Zea mays: one gene and its partner. The main gene of each other region encodes a partner of the protein of the gene in region 2 in a complex. Links are inferred from orthologs where the notes say so. Each region holds a gene or a part of one and is shown on either strand. Other genes may lie near its edges.

Region 1 (4,268 bases), on a different chromosome or scaffold from region 2:
TAAGAGAGAAGAATTTGAAACAATTTTAGAGAACTAAGTGTGTAGGTTGAGAGAACCAAGTGTGCAATTTAGGTGACTACAAAACTCATAGTAAGTTTAGAAAGTTGTGTTTACAACTTATAGAACAAGTTCAATACCACCAAGTACAATTGACAAATTATTCAGTGCAAATCCTTTAAAATATATATTTAAAGATTTTCAAAAAATGAAACTTTACATATCCATAGTACATAGTCATATATAAAGATGTACACTTGGTTCAAACATGTTTTTATAAAATTTCATATAGAAACACGACTTCCCCATGCATGACTTTTTTAGCCCAAGCCTTTATTTATTGAGGGGACAACAAAATTCCTAGGATTTTGTCCTCTAGTGCATATGCACTACAAATTTGCCATTTTATATATAATATTTTAGATTGGATTTCAATCTTAAAATTTAAGATTATATACATCCATAGGTACATTATAAATGTGCACGATTTTAATTTTTTAGAAACTTATAAGTATATTTGTATACGGTTTTCACCATTCCAGTGAGTAGATAATTTGCACTAAATAGTTTTCTAGTAAAATTTACTCTTATCTTCAAAGGCACAAAGAAATCGAGCCTACGGAGGTACCAAATTTGGTAACACTCCACCTCAAAAGGAGTAACGCTATCTCCGTCTCAAAAAAGTGATATTATAGGATTCGTGAATCGTGATAGTCAATTTTTTAAAAAATAAATAAATTTATATAAAATATTAGCAACATTTATATCTTTCAACAAGTTTATTATAAAAATATATTCAGTAACTCATCTAATATTATTAATTATACGCCATAAGTTTAATATTTTTATACATATCTTATTATACTTAGAAATATTGACTTATGAAGCGATAGAATGCCACCCTGGGCGATAGAACGACACCGAGTTGAGGCTGTCTCTGACAGCTGGCCTATCTCTTCTTTTATTTCAAATTTCACTATACAAACAGAATAACAAATCCCTATTTTATGCGATAGTAGCTCTCTAGATATTGTATAACTTGGTAACTCCCAAGGACCTTAAAGAGACTTGTCAGTAATAGTGCTGAAGTGGTGTAGGACATTACTCGCATTTTTGGGAAAGAAAGGTGAAACAGTAATCAGCCAAAATTATGGCAATGTACATTTATATTGTTCCATTCATTTCCCATCGTTATCTAAATCCGCTGCCTTAGCCCGCTGCAACTCGGATTCAACAGCAGCTACAATTCTGGAGACCATTGGTTCAAACTGGACAAGATGCCGACCCATGCCCAGCACCTCAAGGAGCTCATCCTCACAAAGAATTTTCGGAGACTTGTGTTTCTGCATCAGAAGAACGCCCTCCCCCGCCGCCTCATCACTGCCAATCTCTTCTGACAAACCTGTACCATAAATCAGGTTCCGCTTGTGCAGGCTACGTTTACCTTGCTCCACAGCACAGCCTGTAATGAACCTTTCTGTAGCACTCATTTTAAGGTTCTGGGTTGTCGGAATGGAGACGGATTCATTATTCCCTGGGTAGTAGCAAGGCATCCCCAATTCAGATTCGATCCTCTCCTTAAGAAAAGCCATCTGAGGCTTTTCACCATGAACGAGAATTACATTTTTGGGTGACAGGAATTCTGTCAGATCCATAATCCCTTTGGAGTCTGTATGAGGACTGAATGCTAGCTGATGGATCTGGTAAAATAAGGGGGGGGGGGGGGGGGGGGGGGGCAAAAAAACTCAGTATGAGGGGGCAAAAAATATCAAAAATGAAAAGTGCAATGGTTGGAGTAAATCTAGGGTGTGTTTTGTTGCAATGATGGGATAGGACGATCCCTTATATAAGGTTGTTTGATTCAAGGTCAGGGTTGAAATAGAACCATCCCAATGCCGTCGTCCTCAGCTGCCTGTCAGAACTAGACAGAGAGAGGGGATGCCGGGAGACATGGCTGTCCAAGTTGTCCCGCAATCAAACACACCCCTAGAGTGCCAAAAGGGACAACCGAAGTGTAATATGTTAGACACTGACAGCAGCATTCTGTCAGGAACTTCAAACATCATGATTAACCTCACAGAAAGCTCCAATTCCTAGACTACACGTTTCATATGGAGCGCTATTATGTTGAGTGCAAACATTCATATATAAAACTCGACCTGCGAGGGGTAAGACAGCCCCCGGGCATAGAATTAAGAAGAAGACCTTCTCACACAGGTCGAGAAAACCCCCGAACCCCTGCCCCACCCATACACAGCGGCATCGAAGCCCATGTGAGAACGACCACGACCGGGGCTGAGCCTTAGACCTGTGCTTTGGCATGGGACAAACGAGGGGATTTTTTTAACCACAGCCTGAAATTCGCTCCCACGGGGAGTCGAACCCAGGACCTGAGGAGTGCTACTCAGACCACCTAACCAACTCAGCTAGAGGCCCTTTCGCGCAAACATTCATATATGCATCATGAATGGTAATGAGTAGATTAAGATAAAGTATAAAATGTGCAAAACAGGGAGGGGACTAGGAAAGCTCCTCAATACATACAGACATACTACTCACAAAAAACTGAGAGACAGAAACAAAAACGACCACAGCCAGCCAACTGCAATAGACAACTAAGGGCCTCGAGTAAGCACCCATGCAGAACGATAAGTGGGGATTGATATGGATCGAATTTAAAAGCCAGACTTCAACAGTGTTTAAAACACTAGTGATTTACATGGCTTCCCCCTGGTTGACCATGTTCTTGTCATTATTATTTAAAGTTGTACATTTTTTGCAAGATATGAAATGACGTGAAAATCGACCTGACATCTGACATCAATATGAGTGTCCTCGTAATCAACCCTTGTAGGTTTCCCACACATCAACTTATGACCAATGGTTCCAGAAACACAATATCTGTGCGGGAAAAATAGAAAGGTGGCATCAGAATAATTGTAGAGTAAAGGGTTTGGTAAAGCTTGTCTACATGCAAGTAATTTAAAAGATTGAAAAATGGAAAAACAAGAAAGATAAAGAATATACCCTGGAAGTGTAACCAGATTCTTCTCTGATGGTGCCCATTTTTTAAACGCCTCAAGGGAAAATCCCCCAGTAATCATACCAGGTGTTGCAAAAAGTACACAGGGACCAGGGTTGTTAATGAAGGAACGTTCAAAGTGGCAAACTGAAATGTGAAAAATGTTGTCTCTGTTATTCCAATATTTGCAAATAAAAGACAGAACACCTCATACCTCAACTGTGGTTACCCATAAAAAGTGAAATAGCAACAATTATTATCAAAAATATGATTAAATAAACAAATATTTCAATAATAAAGAAACAAAAAATCAATTGGTGACATACAGTTACAAATAATAGGGAAAAAAGGGATAACTTGGAGGGTTGGTTAGTTAAAAATCTACAGAATATTTAGATTTTCAACTCAATCATATGAAATTTATCTTCATTCAAAGTAGGATTGGACAATTAGCTTTTAAAGAACTGAACCATACCATGCTTGAAGTCAAATGGATTATGCACTGTATGGCTGTCCTTGATCTTTTGACTAGTCCACCCAATCAACATTTTGTAGTACACATTAGCTTGAATGGTTAAACCTATAGCACAAATAATCAAAGATAACTTCACATGCAGCAGAAAGTACAAGGTTTCAACTTTCAAGAGACCACGCATACCAGCTGAAAAATAAATAGGAACTTTCAAGCCCATCCTCTCCCAATAGTCATCCAGTAACATACATAGTTCCTGAAATACAAGCGTCACAAATAGATACTCAAATTATGAAACCTTTGAACAGTGTGCCCTCGGAATGGTACTTCTCAGGGAAACTTGCTCATTTAAGTCATATATAGTTATCACACTTAACCATCACTTTGTCTCATAAAGTAGAATTAAGAGAACTACAATACCTGAGCTCTTCCCAGAGCAAACGTTGGAATTAGAACTTTACCTCCACCAGAAACACATTTATGTACCTAGAGGAAACATATACTCAGTTATGCTTTGGAAGTAAAATCAACTGTGTACACTTCAGAAGATTGGTTTAATACAGTCAGAGTGCATCTTCTTGGACGAAAACATCAGGAATAAAAAATATAGATACACTTAGTGAACTGTGTTGTGTGCCCAAATAATATTGAGCACATAGGATCCAAAACCTAGAAAATAGAGTAGTACACCATCGGAAAAGCATTGATTACGAAAATCTACAAATATATACACTGCAGGCTGCAGCAAAGTTCAGATTTTCATACCGCTTTTAAAAA
Region 2 (5,758 bases):
GGTTGATCCCCATATCTTCCTCCGAAGCCCTGCCGCCTCTGCCCCTTGGAGCTGGTGGCCTGAAAGAACTTTGTTGTTGCCCTGAAGATTGTAAGTTATGTTGTGGCCTCTGAAACTGGCTTCCTCTGTCATCACTCTGAGTGTAATTGTGGATTGATCTGACATGCCTAGGGTAGAGTCTTCCTCCGAAGCCCCTAGTCATCTCAGAAAACCTATAAGCTTCTTCCCTTCTCTGGCGGAAATCATTATCGGCCTGGATGTACTCATCCATCTTCTGAAGCAGCTTCTCAATGACGATTTCATTGGGCACTGTGGGTGCTTGTGCTCTCAAACGCAAGAACCTTCGGACATACGCCTGGAGGTATTCTTCGTGATCTTGCGTGCACTGGAACAAAGCTTGAGCATTAACTGGCTTCGTCTGGAACCCTTGAAAACTGGTGATCAGCATGTCCTTCAGCTTCTGCCATGATGTGATTGTTCCTGACCGAAGAGAGTAGTACCAGGTTTGTGCAACATTCTTGAATGCCATGACGAAGTATTTCGCCATGATTGCAGTATTGCCCCCATATGAAGATATGGTTGCTTCGTAGCTCATCAGAAACTGCTTTAGATCTGAGTGCCCATCATACATGAGGAGATGGGGTGGATTGTATGATGGCGGCCATGGGGTAGCCTGCAGTTCTGCTGATAGAGGAGAAGCATCATCAAAAGCAAAATTTCCATGATGCAAATCATCATACCATTCGTCATCATCGTAGGAATTGTCCTGACGAAGCTCTCTGCGTTGAGATCTTCGGTCCTGGTCATCTTGAGTGAGATGACACATTTCCTCAGCAGCCTCATCGATCTTCTTCTGTAAATCGGAGAGACGAAGCATCTTCTCCTTCTTCCTCTGGACCTGTTGATGGATGGCTTCGAGGTTTGGTCCAACTCCTCCTCCTGAGGCGTTGGACTTGTAGCCTTCCTTTTTTGGCTTCTGGCTTCGCGTAGTGTTTCTTGGTTGACGTCCAGCGACTGTAATGCAGCCCCTAGCCCGGAAGACTTCTTCGGCGGCATGACGAAAAGATCATAGCTTTGCCGAAGGTGGTCGAATGAGTTCACCGGAGGTGGATACCAATGTTGGGGACTTGTTCTCAAATACTATGAATTAAGAACAAGGCAACACAAATGTTAATGGTTAAAGGTCTTCATCCTCCGAAGCATTATCTCCTTTAAGATATAATGATCTTCAAACGAAGGTCGTGAAGGTCATACCTTCATCATTTCAATATATAATGGAAAGCAGAAGCATGAGTTACGTATAAAGAATACAAATAATCATTATATTACTTATATTCTTATTGAATAACCATGAATAAACATTAACAATATTGAATTATATTGATACCTTCGGCTTGATAGAAGGTAAGAATCCAAGTGTGACGTGAAAATGAATACAAGTCAGCGTGAACAGTACAGTGCTACTGTTCATCTATTTATAGGCACATGACGCAGCCTGTGTAAAATTACATCCATACCCTTGACATTTACTATTGACTTAGCGATAATCTATCGAGGACTAGACAACCTTTTCCCCTTTAAGTCGGTTTCATTTTCCACCGCTAAGCCGAAGCTTCTACACGGGTATCTTCGGAACTGGTTCATCCTTCTCCCAAACTGCACTTTTCATATCGTGTACAACTTTATCCCAAGGCTGAAGGTCCCTGTATATATATTATACTTGGAGAACATGTTAGTCGTGTTTTTGAAGACCTTCGAAAGATAAAGGCCCCAACACCTAAATCCTTGCAACTAAATACGTGGATTATATTTGTGTGAGCTGATTGCCTGAATTTTGTGTACCTGACATGTAAATGTGTTGATTATATTTGTGTGAGCTGTTGGCATGCTTTTATTTATTTGGCATGAGAGACACCCTGTAAGCTCAGGTTTTTTAATTCGGGTTTTATCGATAAACCAAAGTAAAAAACCAATACCGAACTTGTCACCTTTTCTTTTTATGTAAACCCATCGGTTTTTTATATGAAAAACCAAAAAACCAACCGAATTTTTAAAAAACCGAATGCCCAGCCCAGCCTAAGAGGGTGTTTGAATGCACTAGGGCTAATAGTTAGTGACTAAAATTAGTTGAAACATCCAAACATCCTAGCTAATAGTTTAACTATTAACTATTTTTGTAAATTAGTTAATAGTTAGGTAGTTATTTATTAGCTAGCTAATTCCACTAACAAATTTTAGCCAACTAACTATTAGTTGTAGTGCATTCAAACACCCCTAAGTATGAATAAGCTAGTCCCAAAATTGCAAAAAATGTCTTCGCTGAGCGAAGGGTTTTCTAGGGTTTTGGTACGAAACCCCCCTTCGTCCCGTCGCATTTCGTTCAAAATCGCGCGGTCAAATCCGAGCTCGGGGCCATCGCCGTCGCCGCGCCTCCCATCCCGCGAAGATGAGCTACGCGGCGTACAAGATGATGCATTTGCCCACCGGAATCGACCATTGCGCTGCCGGCTTCATCACCCACTCCCCCGCCGACGCTGCCGCCTTCTCCACGCCCGCGCCCGCGCCCACCGCCGCCGCTGGACCCGACGGCGATATTGACTCCACTGCGGCTAGGGCACCCCGGCGAGTGGGTCCTACCCCCAACCTGGTTGTGTCGGCGGCTAACGTGCTCGAGGTGTATGCCGTGAGGGCCGAGGTCGCGACTGGGGCCGAGGATGCGGGTAATTCTTCGTCTACCGGCACCATCCTGGATGGTATCTCCGGGGCTCGACTGGAACTTGTGTGCCATTACAGGTGCAAACAAATGGCTCTTGCCTCTTTGCATTCACTTTTAGCTGTAAATTTCAGGTATTGATTTTGTGCATCTTGGAGGACTAATCATTCTCTGAACGACATTTAGGCTTCACGGTAACATTGAATCGATGGCTGTGTTGTCCGATGGCACAGAGAATAGGCGAGACTCCATTGCAGTTACGTTTAACGATGCAAAAATAACATGTCTGGAGTTTGATGACAGCATCAATGGCCTGCGGACAAGGTAGCACATAATCCACTCGTTTCTCATTTTGGACAACTTAGGAATAAAAAAAGTTCAATTGCTGTATGTCGGCACAATGATGTAAATTTAAAAGTAATAACAGCATTGGATATTAGAGTTTTTCTTATGGCGTGACAAGGGATAAATGAAACAATATCAACTTACAAAGAAAGACCCCATGTTTTTTTTCTGTTTGAGGTGTCGAAGGATTCTACTTTTTGTCATTTTTAGATTCACTTTATTGATTGCTTTGTTGGGTACTTGGGTATCATCTACGGATCGGTGTACCCCAACTTGCTTGGGATTAAAAGGATTTGTTTTTGCTGTGTAGTCATTTTAGAACCAAGCTGCTGATGATTGAGCTAGTTTGCTCACAAATAGATAAAGTTACATGTAGCACTGTTTTTCTTCTCTGACTTTCTTTCTAATGTACACTAACCTAAACTAATTGCTCTTCTTGATTGAGCTCGTTTGTTGTCCCTTGCCTAACAGATTATGATTCGTGATGTTGCAGCTCAATGCATTGTTTTGAAGGCCCTGAATGGTTCCATCTGAAAAGGGGCAGGGAATCATTTGCCTGGGGTCCTATCATAAAAGGGGATCCTCAAGGCAGATGTGGTGCTGTACTTGTTTATGGATTACAGATAATAATTTTGAAAGCAGCTCAGGTGGAGTTCGCTTGATGGTCTCCTTTTTCATCATGAAATTCAACTATCTGTGGTTTATTCTTAGCTCTTATAATTTTGATTCATTTAACCTCAACTTTTAGTCTGGTTTTCTAACATTCTGAGAACTAAGCTGGGCTCTTTCGAACCAGTTACAAGGGTTTTACTTATGCATTATTAGGTTGGGCAGAGCTTAGTAGGAGAGGATGAACCTACACGCGTGTTGAGTTCCACTGCTGTTCGGATTGAATCTTCGTATGTGATTGATTTACGTGATCTAGAAATGAATCACATCAAAGACTTTACATTTGTGCATGGTGAGATAGGATCTATTTTTACTTTATTTTCACTTTGGATTGTTTTCTATATCAAAGCCCGCATTTTAATATTTGTTTTATCATGGTTACTAAAGCGGTAAATCGATAAAATGTTAGGAGCCACTTTTTCAACATTTAAATGTTGAGACGAACGTTGAAACATCTTTTCAGACTTGACATAAAACGACATGATAGGATATGTTCATACTCATAAGTTGAGTACTTGAGTTCACAAAACAAATAGTATAAAAGGAAATGGATTAAGTTCAACCACACCAGTCTATGCAACATGCAATTTAGAACTTGCATTTAGGATTAGTAACAATCATCCAACTCATCAATATCAAGAGCGTGTGCATCCATTTCTTGATCATCACCATCCGTCTTCATCTTCACTTGCTGAATTAGCCTCCTCTTCCTCAATGGCATGATAGAGGAGCAGGGCGACGATGAAATGGCGATGAAATGGTGGATTTACTGGATGCTGGTGCATGGCGTCTTGACCTAGGACCTGATAGCTGCTGGCAACACTGGCTACTAGAGGAGCTAGAGGGCGGCGTTGGCTAGTGGCGGCGTTGGCTAGTGGCAGCGTTGGAGGTGGCGGGTGTTGGTTGCTGGCGACGATGATGGGTGGCGTTGTTGGAGGAGGCATGCGATGTTGGATCAAGCGGCGCTGTAGCGGGTGGCAAGGTTATTAAAACGATAAAACACTCATGGGTGAAGTTTTGTCTTTAAACGTTTAAACTTTGTAAACTTTGTTTAAACGTAGTTTTAAACAACATATGAAAAATAACAATATATCATAATTTCAGACAATAACATGAAGTTAAATACCAAAACAGAGAGGTTAGTGGCTTACCAAAACTTCACCCATGAGCCGGATTGGACCCAAAAGTAACTAACAGACTGGGTCCAAAAGTAGCTAATGGTATAAAACGCATGAAACACTGCGTTTTACAGTTTAGAACGCCAAAACGCTTAAACACGGTTTCAACCTCTAATTAGAGTTTTGACGTTTAAACGTAGTTTTGATAACAGTGGCGGAGCTTCACCATAGGATTTGGTGTGTGTGTGTGGGAGTCTATATAATTGAGGACTAAACAATGATGAATAGCACAAAGATCACTATTTAGACAATGAAGATCACATTAGGCAGGGTTGGCCATGGCCTGGCTTGGTCTTAACCAAGCTCCGACCTTGGATTCAGATATGGTCGGTGGCTGCAGAGATGGACAGCATGGCCATGCAGAGGGGCAGCATGAGCCGCAAAGAGGAGTCAACCGGGGGGGGGGGGGGGGTGTGCGTGGGTCGGAGATTCACCCAAGGGATCAGCTACAGGCTAGACCTCCTCTCCTACACTATAACTTGGTGATGATTTATGGGACACAGTTGTTTAATTTTGTTCTTTTGCTTTGGCCACTGCTTCTAGTTCTGTGTATCACAAGTTCCTTTGTTTCCACACATTTTGCATACATATTTGTTAATATTGGTACAAACTTACCATATTCAGAACTCAGCCATTTCCATTTTATGATGCCTTCAGGTTATATTGAGCCTGTGTTGGTCATACTTCATGAGCGAGAGCCTACATGGGCTGGGCGTATCTCATCGAAGAGCCAAACATGCATGCTATCTGCGTTTAGTATAAGCATGGGTTTAAAGCAACATCCGATGATATGGTCTGCTGCTGTAAGTGTTCAAGATCAGTCATAAGCTTTTGCCTGTTTTTGTCTAAGTTC

The links. The genes of interacting proteins can lie anywhere in the genome.
Region 1: probable cleavage and polyadenylation specificity factor subunit 1 (region 2) and cleavage and polyadenylation specificity factor subunit 3-II share a complex: the UniProt entries of both Arabidopsis thaliana proteins name them as parts of the CPSF complex. The link is inferred for Zea mays from reciprocal best matches to the Arabidopsis thaliana genes CPSF160 and CPSF73-II.

The regions. Positions count from the first base shown.
Region 1 is NC_050098.1:223,882,193-223,886,460, forward strand, and holds the end of cleavage and polyadenylation specificity factor subunit 3-II, read right to left. Parts: coding exon 4,257-4,268; intron 3,978-4,256; coding exon 3,912-3,977; intron 3,748-3,911; coding exon 3,678-3,747; intron 3,600-3,677; coding exon 3,495-3,599; intron 3,167-3,494; coding exon 3,025-3,166; intron 2,899-3,024; coding exon 2,805-2,898; intron 1,984-2,804; coding exon of another isoform or gene 1,972-1,983; exon of another isoform or gene 1,698-1,971; coding exon 1,176-1,697; 3' UTR 1,028-1,175; downstream 1-1,027. UniProt on the Arabidopsis thaliana protein: Component of the cleavage and polyadenylation specificity factor (CPSF) complex that play a key role in pre-mRNA 3'-end formation, recognizing the AAUAAA signal sequence and interacting with poly(A) polymerase and other factors to bring about cleavage and poly(A) addition.
Region 2 is NC_050097.1:87,302,277-87,308,034, reverse strand, and holds the start of probable cleavage and polyadenylation specificity factor subunit 1, read left to right. Parts: upstream 1-2,281; 5' UTR 2,282-2,446; coding exon 2,447-2,793; intron 2,794-2,899; coding exon 2,900-3,037; intron 3,038-3,551; coding exon 3,552-3,705; intron 3,706-3,883; coding exon 3,884-4,019; intron 4,020-5,562; coding exon 5,563-5,708; intron 5,709-5,758. UniProt on the Arabidopsis thaliana protein: CPSF plays a key role in pre-mRNA 3'-end formation, recognizing the AAUAAA signal sequence and interacting with poly(A)polymerase and other factors to bring about cleavage and poly(A) addition.